Nothobranchius furzeri: one gene and its partners. The protein of the gene in region 3 binds, or shares a complex with, the protein of the main gene of each other region. Links are inferred from orthologs where the notes say so. Each region holds a gene or a part of one and is shown on either strand. Other genes may lie near its edges.

Region 1 (3,095 bases), on a different chromosome or scaffold from region 3:
GAAATTGTTAGTAATAAATTCTTAACTTTTTAAACCTGACTGTACTTTGAATAAAACACAGAGTGTTGTATATTTGGTCACTGAACGAGCAAAGATCTCTTTAGATCTTCTGAATTAATAAATAAACTTTTGCTATTAATTTAAATCTCTTAAATTAAATATTAATCTTTTTGATTAAATATAGACCAAGCCAGTTGGTGTATGAACTTCTATCGATTGGACAGTTTGATATCACAGAAGTGTGATTTACTCTGAGTTAGGGTGTGTTGTTAAAGGGGTGTCTCTTTTAGAGCAATCCTTTTTTGGATTGTAATAAAAACCCTGTTTTTCTAACTGACTCCTGCTTTTACACTTGCTCCCTCACAGGGACAAAACAAATGGCTTCAATCACCAGATCTCAAAGCCTAACCCTAACAATCCAAATCCCAGGCCAATAACAGGTTAAGAAGGGTCCTGACACCAGAAGCTCACACCCAGAAGACCTGACCCAGACAAACCAGCCACAGGAGAAAATTAAACCAGAACTCACATGGACAACTTCTTGGACTGAGAGTCACTCGTCCCATAGCCATGGTCCATTGTTTTACTACGCTGCCCCAAGGTACTGGTTCTGTGTTCTCTCTGGTCCGAGATACTGGTTCTGAAGTCTCTCTTGTCTAAGGTACTGGTCCTGTGCTCTCTTTGGTCCAAGATACTGGTTCTGAAGTCTCTTTGGTCCAAGTTACTGGTTCTGAAGTCTCTTTGGTCCAAGATACTGGTTCTGAAGTCTCTTTGGTCCAAGTTACTGGTTCTATACTCCATCATATTGTTTCTGTGGTCCATATTACTAGTTCTGTGGTCTAGTGTTCGGATTCTGTGGTCTTTCTGGTCCAAGATACTGGCTCTGTCCAGAAGGCTTGTAGTGTTGCTGCAGATCAGAACAGGCATGGAGGAGGTGGACTGGGTTGTCAAAGTGAAGTGGGCGGCCCTCACAGAGTCATCTGAAACAGGAAGTGATGTAAGAGTAGAGACAGTCACATGGGCTATGTTGGAACAGTCGGCTCATTCCGATTTTACTCTACTGTTTCAGACAGACCATGATACACTACTGCCACCGCTGTGTTTGGATGTGTGTGTGTGTGTGTGAGTGAGTGAGTGAGTGAGTGAGTGAGTGAGTGAGTGAGGAAGAGAATTGAACTTTAACAGCTGTGTAGCTACCTTTGGTGGACATCGTGGAGGACTTTCCTAGTCCAGAGGAGCATCCCAGATCTTTGACCTTCCTGAAACACAGAAAAAAAAAGAAAAGTAAAAAAAAAAACCTGCTCAGTTGTTTAAAACCAAAATGGACAAACAGACACAAGATAAACCTGCTGGTGGGTTTAGGGTTCTTACTGAGATTTCTCTGAGTGGACAGGTTTAGACGTTGGAGGCTGGCTACTGAGGGACCGACTGCGTGACAGTTTGCTTCTTCTCATCTCTTTACCTGCACAAAAGAAGCCCTGGTAACTATGTTTACCATCTTCATTACCACCATCATCATCATTAACATCACCACCACCACCACCACCGCCATAATCATCATGTACATTATCACCATCATCACCATCATCACCACCACCATAATCATCACCACCACCACCATCGTCATCATCACCACCACCACCAGTGTCATCATGATCGTCATCATCATCATCATCGTCATCACCACCATCACCACCACCATCATCACCATCGTCACCATCATCACCACCACCATAATCATCACCACCACCACCATCGTCATCATCATCACCACCACCACCACCACCAACATTGTCATCATGATCGCCATCATCATCCTCATTAACACCACCACCACCACCACCATCATCATCATCACCACCACCATCACCATCATCATCACCACCACCATCACCATCATCATCACCACCACCACCACCACCATCACCACCATCATCATCATCACCACCACCACCATAATCATCACCACCACCACCATCGTCATCATCATCACCACCACCATAATCATCACCACCACCACCATCGTCATCATCATCACCACCACCACCACCACCAACATTGTCATCATGATCGCCATCATCATCCTCATCAACACCACCACCACCACCATCATCATCACCACCACCACCATCATCATCATCACCACCACCATCACCATCATCATCACCACCACCATCACCATCATCATCACCACCACCACCACCACCATCACCACCATCATCATCATCACCACCACCATCACCATCATCACCATCGTCATCATCACCACCACCATCACCACCACCATCACCACCATCATCATCATCACCACCACCATCACCATCATCACCATCGTCATCATCACCACCACCATCACCACCACCATCACCACCATCATCATCATCACCATCTTCACCATCGTCATCATAATCACCACCACCACCACCACCATCGTCATCATCATCCTCATCATCATCACCACCATCGTCATCATTATCGTCATCATCATCATCATCATCACCACCACCAATCGTCATCATTATCGCCATCATCATTATCATCACCACCACCACCACCATCATCATCACCATCGTCATCATCATCACCACCACCACCACCATCGTCATCATGATCGTCATCATCATCATCGTCACCATCACCACCACCATCATCATGATCGTCATCATCATCACAATCACCACCATCATCACCACCACCATCGTCATCATGATCGTCATCATCACCACCATCGTCATCATCATTATCATCATCATCATCGTCACCATCACCACCACCATCATCATGATCGTCATCATCATCACAATCACCACCATCATCACCACCATTATCATCATCATCATCACCACCACCATCATCACCACCATCATCATCATCACCACCGTTGTCATGATCGTCATCATCATCATCACCATCATCGTCATTATCTCATCATCATTATCATCATCACCACCACCACTATCACCATCATCGTCGTGACCATCATCATCATCACCACCACCACCATCATCATCACCACCATCATCGTCACCACCATCATCGTCACCATCACCATAGTCATCACAGTCGTCACCATCATCATCATCATCATCGTCATC
Region 2 (3,363 bases), on a different chromosome or scaffold from region 3:
TGCTGGTGTCGAAGGTTAAGCTGACTGTGCATCAGTCAGTCAGACAGGTAAGACAGGCAGGTGAGCTGTGATGGGGTTTTAGGCGGCGAGGCTAAATCAAAGGAGTCGTGTCCATTAAGCCTTTGTTTGGGTCCAAGCTGGCAAAGAACCTCACGTCGCGGTCCTTGTCAGACTGCAGAGTCATCACTGTCTCTTCAAGCTCGTCGGAGTAGGCACAGCCCGGCTCCTTGAAGTAAGCTGGAAGGAAGCAAACGGGAACTTCGTAACAAACATTATCCTCTTTTGCTTGTGCAATTCTGAGCTGAGGATGTTTTACAAGCTGCATGTCCCACACCGGGTCTATTTATAGATCACCTTTCTCCATGACGCTCTGTCGTAAAGCCTTGGCCACCAAAACTCGGACGTTAGCCACCGGATCAGAGGAGAGGCTGAGGAGGCTGGGCAACAGATGCTGGCTGAACTGCTCCATGGGCATGCAGTCCTCCTCAACCACGGCCTGCAGGGAGAACCACAAAACTATCAAACTCAGACAACTAGTGGAGGGGGGGGGGGGTCAACTATTGTAACCACAGGAGAACATTTGTCAGATCAGTCAGAGAAAATGGTGCTTCCCCACTTCTCCCATTAGATCCACAGACCTGGCAGATGAAAGCAAAGGCCTGCCTCCCCACCCACTTGGGACAGTGGCAAAACCTGACGGTGAGCTCGTTGATGAAATTCAGGCCAAGGTCGTCAGCACCACATGCATAAAGTTTCTGGAGGATCTCCACCACCTGAGAGCAGAGGAAGTGATGACACACTCGCTCCATCTACACAGTGTTCATTTACACGGTTTCATTAAAAACAAACACCAGTATTTAGAACCTAATTCTGTTGGGCAAAAGTTCACAAGCTGCTTGCATTTTTCCTCCACAGGTCAGTTTGCGCAGCCGGCAGTAAAACGTACCAGTTTGTAGGAGATCCACCTGACCTCTGAGACCTTGTCAGAGCAGAGGGTGAGGGCGATCTGTCTGAGGTAGTCATACACATCGTAGTGGCTGTACAGCTCAATGATCAAGATCAGCTGCCTAGAGGACAAAGCCAGTGAGGCACACGGTGAATGCACGGGGACATACCGGCCGACTGATATATCTGTCCACTCCTAGTGAAGATCCTCTCTCCCTCAGAGACACTTACTCTGCCAGCTCATATCTGAATCTCCAGTTTCGACTGTTGTCCGTCACCATGAACTCCTGCAGCTGGTACAGATACTCTCTCCTTTTGTCTGCGTGCAGCAGCTGCGACACAAACCTGCTCCGTTATCAACAGCAAACAACCTCCTCTCTCGCAGACCTGCCAACCTTGTCAAACATTTTTTGAGTACCACCTGTGCGGCGTTTTTCGCAGACTTTTACAACTCCATTGCTTTTCACGCTGTAATCTCCCCATTCACTGGATGGAAAATTTCACACACACACACACACGCACACACACACTTTACCTTACCAGAACAGCAGCGAGTGGCGAACCAGTGGGAGAGAGGAGGAACGAGGCAGGGAGGAGGGGGGTTTTAGGCTACTGGTTAGGCAGGATAGGCTTACTCTGCTTTTCTACGATGATTGGCTTAAACTTCTTCACCACGCCACTGAGTCGTGTTGTCAGACACGAGTACCACACGTACATATTTGCCACAGAACTCAACTCACGTATCCGCAGCTTTGTGCGAAGTTTAAATGGGTGAGTCGTACCAGCGTAAATAGATGCCAAATTGCATACTGGCGACGCAAAATGCGTACAGGTTGGCAGGTTTGCTCTCGTTATGGCGCAGTGGAGATCTTACCTTCAGGAAGTCGTACAGGTGCTTGAGCACGCCGATGCGAACCTCATCTAGGTCTTTGAGGAAGCCGTTGAAGATGGGAACCAGATCAGCTGCAGTCAGCTGGTCCCCCAGGATAACCGCCAGCTCATGGATGGAGAAAGCCAACGTTCGCCGCACCTTCCACTGAGAGGGAAAATGTGGGGAATTAAAACCATAAAGCCAGTGCTAATAATCCAACACAAAGTGGAGTGTCTGTGGTGACCTTAAGCATGAACCACTACAGATCCTGTTTTCTGATGAGCTTCAAAGCTACAAAGGCCCAAACACCAGACATCATTACACTTGTGATTTCCTGATACCTACCTGCACGTCCGTGGCGAGGGTTTCATATGTGTCCTTTAGGCAGTGCCAATTCTGTCGGCCCAGAGTGAGCGCCACACCCGGAAGGCTGAAGGCACAGTGTTTGGCTATCTCCGTGTCCACCGTCTGGGCCCGGGCGGGGTCCGTCATAGAGAGGTACTGATCCAACAGCTGCTGAGGGATGACATTCTGCAGACAGGAAGTCCAAGTTAGATGATTAAACACGAGGAATCCATAATGATCGTGGGATTCGTTTATCATGACCGACCTGGATTTTGGGCTTATCCTCTGACGTTGGGCTGTGAAGACAGGCGTCCTTTTCCTCCTCCTCCACATTTTCAATTAAGCTAGACTCCTGAGGAAAATGAGAACCCACAAAAACGTAAAAGAGCAGGAAAGTACAAGCGAAAACCACAAATATCTCAAATCATCCATGAAAACAACTAAAATAGTTTTAACAAACGGTTTAACAAAGCTGCCACAGACTCCAAACTATTGCATGAAAAATCTAATCAACAGAAAAAATAATAAACACTGCGATGCAGCTCTGAGCCGTTAAAACAGGGTCGCCCTTGGAAACCTAAAACAGCTGACAATCATGGTTTGGGGCCAGAACATCCTCTGCTGTTGTTGAAGTTGTTCTCTGCTTTATATTGCATTTGATTAAATATATTATGCAACTGTGCACAAATGGATGCGTCTGTGGTGTATAATAGTTTCTACACCTTTACCAGTTTCCCTAAGAGTGATAACCGTAGATGTGCATGTGCTCCTGCCATAGTTAGTGAGGCTGCGCACGTCTCCACGATCATTTCATGGCCATGTTTTTATGGATATGTACCCGTAGTATCTGAGGCCCCAGAACAGGAGAGTTGGGTGGAGACTCCTCCTGCTTCTCCAGAGGTTCAGTTTGAGTCTCTTCATTTTCTTGCTCCTGGACCGGACACGTTTCTGCAGCTGGAGAAATTTCCATTGTTTCTTCTTGGTCTGTGCTAGCGTCCTCCATCTCCGGCTGTAGATCAATAGAAATGCCGTCCCCTGATAGGCCCTCAGGGCTGTCTTCAGGCGGCTCCTCGGTAGGGCTGGTTTCTGTCGGGCTGCCGTCAGACGGGCTGTCGAGCTGGGCCGCCTTCAGAGCTGCTGACAAGACTTGGACTTGAACTGGAGGTGAAATACACACTCAGTTAAATCTACACACCAGTAAA
Region 3 (4,840 bases):
GAAAACAGTAAATATATATATATTTATCTATCCATATTTGATGACAGTTGCACTTACTAGCTCCCTTCTTTTACTGTCTGTGGCTTCGTCTGTGAGCTGTGCAAAGACCTCCGTCAGGAACTTCTCATCCTCCTGCAGCAGAGTCAGAATGTGTGTTAGCACACAAGATTACCAAGTAATGAAAAAGTTAAAGACTTATAATAAATTCAAACTGAGGATAAAAAATAAACCTAATCCCGTGACGATTATTTGAGCTTACCATGATCATTCTGTACAATCTTTAGAACTGTTTCCGCTCACCTGTAGAACAGTTGGAAGAAACTAACAGAAATTCATGTTTCCCTTTTACTACTGCTCCTTTTGTTTACATTTGCTTTGCCGTATTTCCAGCAGCAGAAATCTCTGATGTCACTGTGCGTCACTTTAAATCATTCACAGCATTTCGGTGTTTATTCACATTAAACACTGAAGCTGCACAAATACAAGATTTTTATATCAAAGGGTAAACCATTTAAACACAAAATATCTTTTTTAAACACTTGAACAGAAGCAATTGTTTACCTTAATTTAATACAGAACTCTGAAATTGTTAAATTATTTAGAAAATGAGACATTGTCTGCAACACATCCCTCACTCAAGAGTCATGCCAGAACAATCACAAAACACATCCAACTGTCCGCAAATCTTAACAGATCTGTTTTTAAAAGACAAACTGAGTCACAACAAAAACGGTCTTCTCAGATGTTCACATTTAATTTATCATCCCCTATAAAATCCAATTTTTCAGTACAGGAAAGATGAGTTTACTAAATGATAGGGATGCACCGGTGCCGATACAGATTCCAGTATTGGGGTAAAGTTAACCGATACCAATGCAGTTGCTTGAAAATGGCTTCACTGTAACTAGTCATTTCTGTTCACCTAATATTTTAGTTTTGTGATGACTTCTATTCATATATTTTACTTTTTATCTACCTCACAGTCTTTTCCTGTTGAAAGCAGAGAAGAAAATAAAATCTGTATTCCAAACCATTGCATTTTGTTTGTGTGGTAGAAGTATCGGTAATCGGTATCGGCGAGTACTCAGATCCAAGTATCGGTATCGTATCGGTTTGGAAAAAAGGGGTATCGTTGCATCCCTACTAAATTATCTAAAAACAATGAAAACTAAAGGAACTAATTAAGATGTAATGTTATTAAACATCATACATAATCAGTAATACACCACACAAACTTTAGAAATGTCAGAATTTAATTCATTTTGAGCGTTTTGAATCCTTACCTGCAACATACTGACTATTTCCACTTTGTTGAAGTAGATGAAGGACGTGAGTGTGGATAGGAAGTTTTCCTCAAAGACGGATGGTGTGGGCAGGATTATGTCCTGGATGTACTGAACACGGTATGTCTGGTGGATTTTCTGCCGCAGCTCAGAGTCTGTGATAGGGATCACCTCCTTAAACTTTGCCGTCTTGGTCAAGAATTCCCTGTGTCGTTTAGGCTGAACCAGGGCCGGGTCGTACTCCAGGCAACCCACTACATCCATGATACAGTCGTCGGAGAACATAATCTCAAATAGAGCTGCTTTGTTGAGGAACAAGACACCTCGCACAATCTCATAGAGGTGATGCAGACCTTCTCTGTTCTCCAGATCCTCACATACTCTGAAGAGACCCAGCAGTTTCTTGATGTAGCCCTCACTCATCAGTGCCAGGGCAAGTTTTTCTCTTCGGATAGGCGACGACAAGACAGAGGTAACCAGATCAGCTATTTCCTCCAGTCGACTTAACTCACAAGGAGGCAGCTCAACCAGATGCGTTGTCTCCGGGATCTCCTCAAAGTGGTCTTCCTCTGACTCATCAATTGGGTCCTGGGTGATGTCCAGAGCAGGGTCCTTACCTTGAACCTGAGTTATAAATGATTGTTATGTCAATAGCAATTCAGAGAGGATGACATTCATCAACTTTGCTGGCTGAACGATACCTGACAAATTTTCTCCCAAATCTCATCACAACCAGCCTTTTCCTGGAAACTTAAGGCAAGATCATAATTATCTGCTTCAGACCAGACAATCAGTGTGTCCTACAGAGAGAGAAACAAACATCCAGTTTTGGTTTAAGAGTCTCGGCTGGTTATGGCAATCAGAAGTTTTCATTCACACAGATCAAGATACCACGTGTCGTGAAGGCTTACTACCTGTTGTTTCTGATATGCGGTATTTGGACTTATCTTCGACTCCAACAGCAACGATCCTAAAATTGTGATGATAGTCGATTATATAAACAGTACATATGATTGCTATATTAACAGCAAAACGTGGTCAAGTAATTACTAACAACACTAAACTGGACATAACTTTGAAAATATACACTTAATGTTAACCAAAATCCACATTTGACAAGTAACTTAAGATAATCTGTATTTAAATGTGTGCTGGAGCCAAATATGAGCAACTCCAAGTTTGAACGTGTACCGTGAGACTTCGAGGAGCCCCCGTGCGTGATCGTGATGTCGTGTTTTAAACAAATGAGCATGTGAAGCATTGCTATTTAAAAAAAACTTGTATAGGACAAGGTTGTTGCTTTGAATTTTAACTGTCGAATACGGTGAGCCACAAAAGTAAGAATAAACGTACATAACATATGACGCCCCTCAAAACAAAATATGAACCAAGGCGTTCTGAGGACAAGGAGATAGCATGCTAAAGTTATAGCCAACGTAGCGTGAATGCGGCTATGCTAACGGAGAACCTACCGTCCGATTCAGCTCGAACTAAGAGTGAAATCCCTTTTAGTCGCTCCACGAATGTAGACGAGACGTGTCCGGTGCCTCGATCGTCCCATTGTCTGTCTTCGTTCAGGGTGTACACTTTAACACGCCGCCGAGTGTCCGACATGGCTAATCGAGTCGGAGCTAGCTAGCTGGATGCTAACAGCCTATCTCCTCACGCCGTCTAGTGTTTTCCTCGACCTTTTAACTTTTTTCCCATCTGCATGTTATAAAACATGCACGTCTAATTGGAACTTGCAACTGCTGTTATAAATATTTGTGGCTACTTCAACATATTTCGTCTACGGAATAAAGCAAGGAGGCCTGACAACCAAACAGTGAAATTAAAAGAGCACACAACTCCAACGGCCTGCCTGCTAGCGTCCACAGACCACCATCTTGTAATCCGATCTTTTTCTTCGTAGTTGTCAAACACTAACCGCCGTGGGGTAGGCGGGGCTTAATTTACTAGCAGTACAACACAGCGCCTTCTATCGAAAGTAAAAATATTAGTAACCGTCTGGATTATTTTGTGTATTTTATTTACGAAAATGAGTTTTAGCTATAAAAATGATTAATATTGGTAAATACACATATCACATTTACTATAAATACACCATGAGTCTCTTGAGCACAACTCATACGTCCATCCACTCACACCTGTATTATCACACCAGGTGTGACCAACAGAAACACAGACTTGTTGTTTCAAGTGACGTAAAAAACATAAAAGGCAATGTCGGAAAAAAAAAAACATTAGAATCAACATCATCTGTATCTCAATCAGATGTGGCTGAGGCAGATTTATTAGAGGATGTTTCAGTAAAGAGTACCAGAACTCAGTAGCTATTTAGAGTTAATAAACAAGCACCTCATGTTATTTCCTTCAGTAAATATGTCCATATGTTCCTTTTCTCAAAATATCTCGACAGTTTCAATCCCGTCTGCTGAAGCATGGTGTCATACGTCCATTTCGGTCCTGTTGCTGTTGCCCATAGAGATGCTCTGTTTCTCACTCAGGGTTTTAACCACAGTTGCAGCAGGAGACTGGAGCACCTTTCGCGAAAGCCTCATCCTTCCATCTGTTGGATCCCGTCCAAAGTACTTGACCTGAGCACAAATGAAACGTGATCAACCCAAAATGGACACACGATTTCTACTTTTAACCAGTCGTAGTTAATGATGCATACCTGTATCTCCTGTCCCACTTCTAAGCCCAAAGCACTTGGATGTTTGATCTAAGTGCAAAAAATATATATTTATATTTGAAGAGTCTCGAATTTTAGTTTTATTTTTGTTTTGTTTTTTACACACAAAACCTAAATCGACTAAACAAAGGCTCACAAATACAGACCCGTTTATGGTCCAGCTGGGAGTTGTGCAGTAGCACTGGACTCATGTTGGGATAAAGTTTCACCATCACTCCAATATCCCTAAAGCAGAGGAGAAAAACTCTTAGTGGGCAAATGAACCCAAATTATTTTAATACTCCACAGATCAATGTCCAGTGATCCACTTACCCACTAATGTAATTCATAATAACCATTCTGATTTTATTTCCTTACCTTATTTCTGTGATGGTGGCAGTGTAGACAGCACCAAACTCCAGCTGCTGTTCTTGCTACAAATGAATGGAAAATAAATATATAATAAACATAAAATCCATGAGTGGATGGTACCGCCCTGAATTTATGAATATGAAGGAAAACAAAAGACAGCAGAAAACAGCAGGATTTGGAGTCTGACTCATTATTAGTAATGATATGAAAAATCTGGCCTCTGATTGGCTAACAGCAACGCGACTCTACCACTGACTCTATTTGCTTTGCAACGTTGATGTTTTATCTCCACAAATAACACAAGCCTGAAGCAGTTCTGCCATGTTGTGGAGTTGCTGATGCTAACGATTAGCTTCTACCAGCAGTGACATTCTCGCCGTTTCCAGGACGCTAAATCAACAACAGCCTTCCTCGTCGTGAGCCAAGATGGGTGAGGTCATGCATGTTAATTTACAATATGACGTGGATCTGTCAGGTTTTTCAAATGCCCAAAATGCTGTCCTTGATATAG
Region 4 (4,805 bases), on a different chromosome or scaffold from region 3:
GTCATAACGCTCCTGCTGCGTCTGACTCCTTATTTGTCTAGTAAATAAGGAACAGTCTGTGTAATTGTTTAGTTAAATACGAGAAAACTGGTGTTTTTAAAAACCGTGGCCTCCAGAATGCACTTATGAGCGTGCAATCACAAGCAGAGCTGTGTATTTGATGTCAGACGGGCTGCTGTGCAACCGGTTTTGAATCTGACGGACATTCCAGCGGTCATCCCACTCCCTCTTTACTTGTTGTTCATAACTGTAACGAATGTGGGACCTTAGTTGTGAGTCAGATTTATATTAAAAACAGTAGACTGAAAAAGCGTTAATTATAGTGTGTTTTTTACTCTTTTAATATAATTCTGATGCACAACCAGAGTCCCTCACTCTGCAGGGTTTCCCCCAGCGCTTTATAAGCTTGGCCACCCGCCAGGCTAAGAGTCATGCCCGCCCCCCCTCCCCGACCCTACCGTGCCCCCTGACATGAACGGCGCAAGAGCCCTCCATCAGCTGATACTGGTGAGAAACAGCAATGGAACGTGTGCAAGAGCTAATAACAGTAAGTGTGAAAAAGGGGGCTTTTTTTTAACCACTGGTTGCAAAATTGTGAACCGTAACCAGCTGCTTATATCGGAGATTTCTGACGCAGTCCGATATAGTCAGATACAGTATTTTTGAGCCAAAATCGAATTACTTCCGATATCGATATCATGCTCATTATTAAAGCACATGCCTGCATTAATAATGAGCATGCATGTGCTTTATCTCAATTTTACACTCACACCATCAGACACACTGGGTTTGGTGGTTGTGGAATATGTGGGCATCCCTTTGTGCCTTCTAACTCAGACATGAAAATGGGTCAAGGGTGAAGAAGATGAGACCCACTCCACATCAAGGAAAGTAGCCACCCCCTGAGAGGATATCCGGTGATGGGGGAGTTGGTCTGGGGGACTCCCACTGAGAAGTTTTAGTGAGCAGATGTCATTTCCCACATCCTAGTGCTTTTTAGCAGGTATTTAATCATATTTAAAATATTTGCTTTTAAATTAACAACTTAAAAATTGAGCTTTAAAAACTACATTTATCAATGAAATAAGATAAATAACATGTTTGGCCTGGTTCGTTATTTTGTTTGAACCCAGTGGTCTCATTTCATACATGAGATGGAGCAGGAACCAGTCTCTGCTGCTGAAAACACTAAAAGAACCATAAACTGCCAATAAAATGATGGATGTTTATTTTGTATTTGCTAATAATAATAATAATAATACAAGCAGGAGGCAGTGGGCTGGATTAGGATTTAATTTAATTATATTTATAGGATTTTATTTAATAACAGCTACCTCCCCTTAACTAACCCTTCCTTTGGGGACATTTTGTCTTTTATGATCTTCTTGTGTCCATTGTGTCTCTGAGGAGAAGAAACAAGCAAACATCTAACTCTAAAGGTAGACAAAAGTTTCCTCCCAGTTTAATTTATCAGTTCAAGTCACCCTGGTTCATGAAACAGAATAAAGTTCAGCAAGAACTTCCACAGTCTGACAGCAAAACAGTATTATAATTTCTCTCTGACTGCTCTGACCTCTCAGCTCCTCCTGCTTACTGATAGAAATCATGAATGTGAAACCATAACACCATTCTACAAAATAACATTAACAGTATATGGGGCGCTCCGTGCAGCATGTCAGAGCGTCTAAAGGTATGCTTGAATATACACGTCATTTTTTTGGACGGACGAATATCACTCAAAAAAATTCTTACGTATAAGCTTTAGGACATTTATCACTGTTCAGTGTCACCGGTACCAAACAAAATAAAAAATTACTACGGTTTTTGACAACAGTAAGCCAAAATGAACAGAAACTTACTCTGAAGAGCTCTTTCAGGTCATAGAATTGACCGTGAATATCGCCACACACCTGCAAAAACAAAAACATTTATACATTTGGCCACTTTTAAAAGAGTGAGTAGATTTTTCGACAAACGAGGAGATACCGTGACAGGAGAGTCTACTCTCTGGACATTGCTTTCTTCAACCAGGATTTCTCTGAAAATACACCCACATTTTAGAAAATTGTGTTTTTACAGCTACTTTATAAACAAATACATCTGTCACACTGAACATCAAGCAATCATTGTATGCACGGGCAAGGACGATAACCACAACAGTGATTCATAACATTGTTCCAGGACTCTAGGAGGTGCTCTATCCGGTCGTTTACCATTTAACATTACAACAACATCTTCATCAGAAGTAACGTGATGGAGTACCTGGCTTTGGCACACAATGCTTTGACTTCATTTTCCTTGATGAGCTCACAGCGCCTGAGCTGCTCTATCTGTCGGTCCAGGTCACTGATGTCTCCCATTGTCACACACATAGAGGGAGCTAGTTACACACCGTCCACACACTCAGATGTATGCTCCTAGCCCACAGAGCAACCACGGAATAAAATAGAGGACTCCTTCCTTTACAGAGACGGCTGCTTTAATCTGGGTGGCTTTGGTAATGGTGATAATGATCTGTAAAGGAACAAAAACGTTTTAACAAACGGTCACACGTTACAGCAATTATGGTCGAATTCGCAGAGATAAACGTGGATTAACGTTTTATGTGGTTCTCCCTGACTAAGAAAGCGTTTATTAACACGGAACACTGAGAAACAGGACATTTTCTAGGAATGCGAGGCCTAGGGGTGTAGCTTAGCATGCTAGCTTACGTCACGGTAGACCACCCACTACACATTCTTTATTAACACAGGAATTCGTTCCACAGACCACATATAAACCTCCCAGTCCTTAGCGAACATTTATGTAACTGGGGACATGAAAAACGATCACCAAAACGCTGGAAAGTCTTCAACAACCGCGGGACCTGGTTAACTCCCGCGACAGCGCTACCTAGCTCCGTTTAGCTAGTTGTTAGCGGGTTAGCTAGCTCAACAAACGTAGTTACTCGTTCCACACGTCACCGCTAACCTAACAAAACCAAAATATTTACATTTACCGTGTTAGAGTGTGTTTGAAGACGGCAATCAATGTTTCATCCCGTGGGGCTGATGATTCTTTCGTTGACCGGCTCCTCTCCCTCCCCCGGTATCCTTTGCCGGTTTAGCTAGCTAGTCCTGCTCGCTGATCTCAACGCCAACGACCTGGTGTCACTTCCGGTGTTGTCGCCGGTTCCAGCCTCCAAACCGAACCACGCATCTAGACCAAACCAGTGTTAAAACATTCTAGGCATGGGGCTGACGCCACCAGGACCTGCATTTTTGTTCCTGTTCAGCCTCCAGCTGCTTCTTCACTCGACTTCTAGCGACAGGCGGAAGAAATGGGAGCGGTAGCATCTCCTGGTTTCAGACAACTCGATGAGTCCATGAGGTCAACGTTTGATGGGATGTCTGGCTTGTAATGTTTCTGGAAGTATGCACCAAGTTTCAGGTTCTTCACAAAAGATGTTTATTGTGTTCCTTCTCCAGCTGTACATCATTCTCTCATCAGCGCTCACCTCTACCCTTAAATAGATTATCTATCTATTTATTCAAAACTCAGGTTTTGAGTTTGTTCATGAACTGAAACGTTACATTTTTATAATTCTTTAATTCATAAATAATAATCATAATAATCTTTCAATTTAGATAATTTTTTAACATAAAACATCAATAACAAATACACAAAAATATACCGTAATTTCATGGGAAAAAAAAGACCAGCAGGTGTTCACGATCTCTTCCAATAAACAACCAGGTTTTTTTTTTATATAATATTTTGTTTTTCAGGTTTTTAGTCAAGCCATATAAACAAACATACGTTTACGGCTGCCAGACCACACTGTAAACAGAAAGGTATATAAAACAGTTACTATTAAGCACATTTACAGATGATAGAGCAACATTATATTAGGTATGTTTCAGCACCAGTCATTAATCCAAACCATTTCACCAGCTAGATAACCTTGTAGTGGGTTAGGAAAGGTCTCCAGCCCTCCTCAAGCTTGCTGCGAGAGCCAGTCTTGTGTGAATGTAGCAATTCCAGTTGAATGACATGTAGCATCTCTGTGAGCCAATGTCCAAAAGAAGGTGGGGTTGTAGATTTCCATTTCAGAAGAATGAGTTTTTAAGCCACAACCATCCCTAACTGTAGAGCGGTCCCCATGTGCTGTGGCAGCCGAGGAGCCAGCGAAGGACATCCAAGAATTGCCAGTGTGGGGGTGGGCTGAATGTCACTACCATAAACATCTGAACAACATTTAAAGATTGCAGACCAGAATCTGCTCAATGAAGGACAGAACCAGAATAAATGTGCTAACGAACCTTCTGCTATATGGCATCTGTCACACTCGGTAGACGCAGATGGGAACATTTTGTTCAATTTTATTTTAGAGTAATGCAGCCTGTGTAGAACCGTAAACTGGATCAATCTAAGGCGAGAGTTGACGGAACAGCGGGTAATCTGAGATAATGCTCCTTCCCAGAGTGCGTCAGACGCCTCACAGTTCAAGTCCACTGCCCAAGCCTCTCTATGAAAGTCTGAGGAAACTGTGGCAGCAAAGCAGCTAACAAACTTTGACACAATCCGCTTGGAGTTTGGAGGAAGCAAAAAATTCTTAATAAGGGTGTGTGTGGTGGAAGAGGGTTCAAGATTTGGGCACCATTCCCTAACACAGTGTCTGACTTGAAGGTAGCGAAAAAAAATGTAAATTAGGGAGATTATACTTTGAACTAATCTGCGAAAATGAATTGACCACCAATAAACAGATCCGCAAATGATCTGATGCCCCTCTCCTTCCAGGCCATGAATACTGCATCTTGCTGCCT

Evidence for each region.
Region 1: ppp4r3b (region 3) and ppp4r4 share a complex: the UniProt entries of both Homo sapiens proteins name them as parts of the PP4 complex. The link is inferred for Nothobranchius furzeri from reciprocal best matches to the Homo sapiens genes PPP4R3B and PPP4R4.
Region 2: ppp4r3b (region 3) and ppp4r1l share a complex: the UniProt entries of both Homo sapiens proteins name them as parts of the PP4 complex. The link is inferred for Nothobranchius furzeri from reciprocal best matches to the Homo sapiens genes PPP4R3B and PPP4R1.
Region 4: ppp4r3b (region 3) and serine/threonine-protein phosphatase 4 catalytic subunit B share a complex: the UniProt entries of both Homo sapiens proteins name them as parts of the PP4 complex. The link is inferred for Nothobranchius furzeri from reciprocal best matches to the Homo sapiens genes PPP4R3B and PPP4C.

The regions. Positions count from the first base shown.
Region 1 is NC_091742.1:16,616,065-16,619,159, forward strand, and holds part of ppp4r4 (serine/threonine-protein phosphatase 4 regulatory subunit 4), read right to left. Parts: intron 1,463-3,095; coding exon 1,372-1,462; intron 1,260-1,371; coding exon 1,198-1,259; intron 981-1,197; coding exon 530-980; intron 1-529. UniProt on the Homo sapiens protein: Putative regulatory subunit of serine/threonine-protein phosphatase 4.
Region 2 is NC_091743.1:58,789,792-58,793,154, reverse strand, and holds part of ppp4r1l (serine/threonine-protein phosphatase 4 regulatory subunit 1), read right to left. Parts: intron 3,320-3,363; coding exon 3,000-3,319; intron 2,514-2,999; coding exon 2,427-2,513; intron 2,348-2,426; coding exon 2,162-2,347; intron 1,982-2,161; coding exon 1,820-1,981; intron 1,278-1,819; coding exon 1,177-1,277; intron 1,068-1,176; coding exon 947-1,067; intron 774-946; coding exon 639-773; intron 497-638; coding exon 355-496; intron 238-354; coding exon 92-237; 3' UTR 1-91. UniProt on the Homo sapiens protein: Regulatory subunit of serine/threonine-protein phosphatase 4. May play a role in regulation of cell division in renal glomeruli. The PPP4C-PPP4R1 PP4 complex may play a role in dephosphorylation and regulation of HDAC3.
Region 3 is NC_091752.1:26,257,666-26,262,505, forward strand, and holds the start of ppp4r3b (serine/threonine-protein phosphatase 4 regulatory subunit 3B), read right to left. Parts: upstream 3,130-4,840; 5' UTR 2,898-3,129; coding exon 2,756-2,897; intron 2,254-2,755; coding exon 2,198-2,253; intron 2,084-2,197; coding exon 1,985-2,083; intron 1,908-1,984; coding exon 1,284-1,907; intron 133-1,283; coding exon 58-132; intron 1-57. Other genes in the region: pnpt1 (polyribonucleotide nucleotidyltransferase 1, mitochondrial), read right to left, coding at 3,731-3,880, 3,961-4,008, 4,125-4,203, 4,336-4,391. UniProt on the Homo sapiens protein: Regulatory subunit of serine/threonine-protein phosphatase 4 (PP4). May regulate the activity of PPP4C at centrosomal microtubule organizing centers.
Region 4 is NC_091758.1:11,558,864-11,563,668, reverse strand, and holds the start of serine/threonine-protein phosphatase 4 catalytic subunit B, read right to left. Parts: upstream 3,190-4,805; 5' UTR 2,999-3,189; intron 2,515-2,998; 5' UTR 2,373-2,514; coding exon 2,263-2,372; intron 2,039-2,262; coding exon 1,987-2,038; intron 1,911-1,986; coding exon 1,860-1,910; intron 1-1,859. UniProt on the Homo sapiens protein: Protein phosphatase that is involved in many processes such as microtubule organization at centrosomes, maturation of spliceosomal snRNPs, apoptosis, DNA repair, tumor necrosis factor (TNF)-alpha signaling, activation of c-Jun N-terminal kinase MAPK8, regulation of histone acetylation, DNA damage checkpoint signaling, NF-kappa-B activation and cell migration.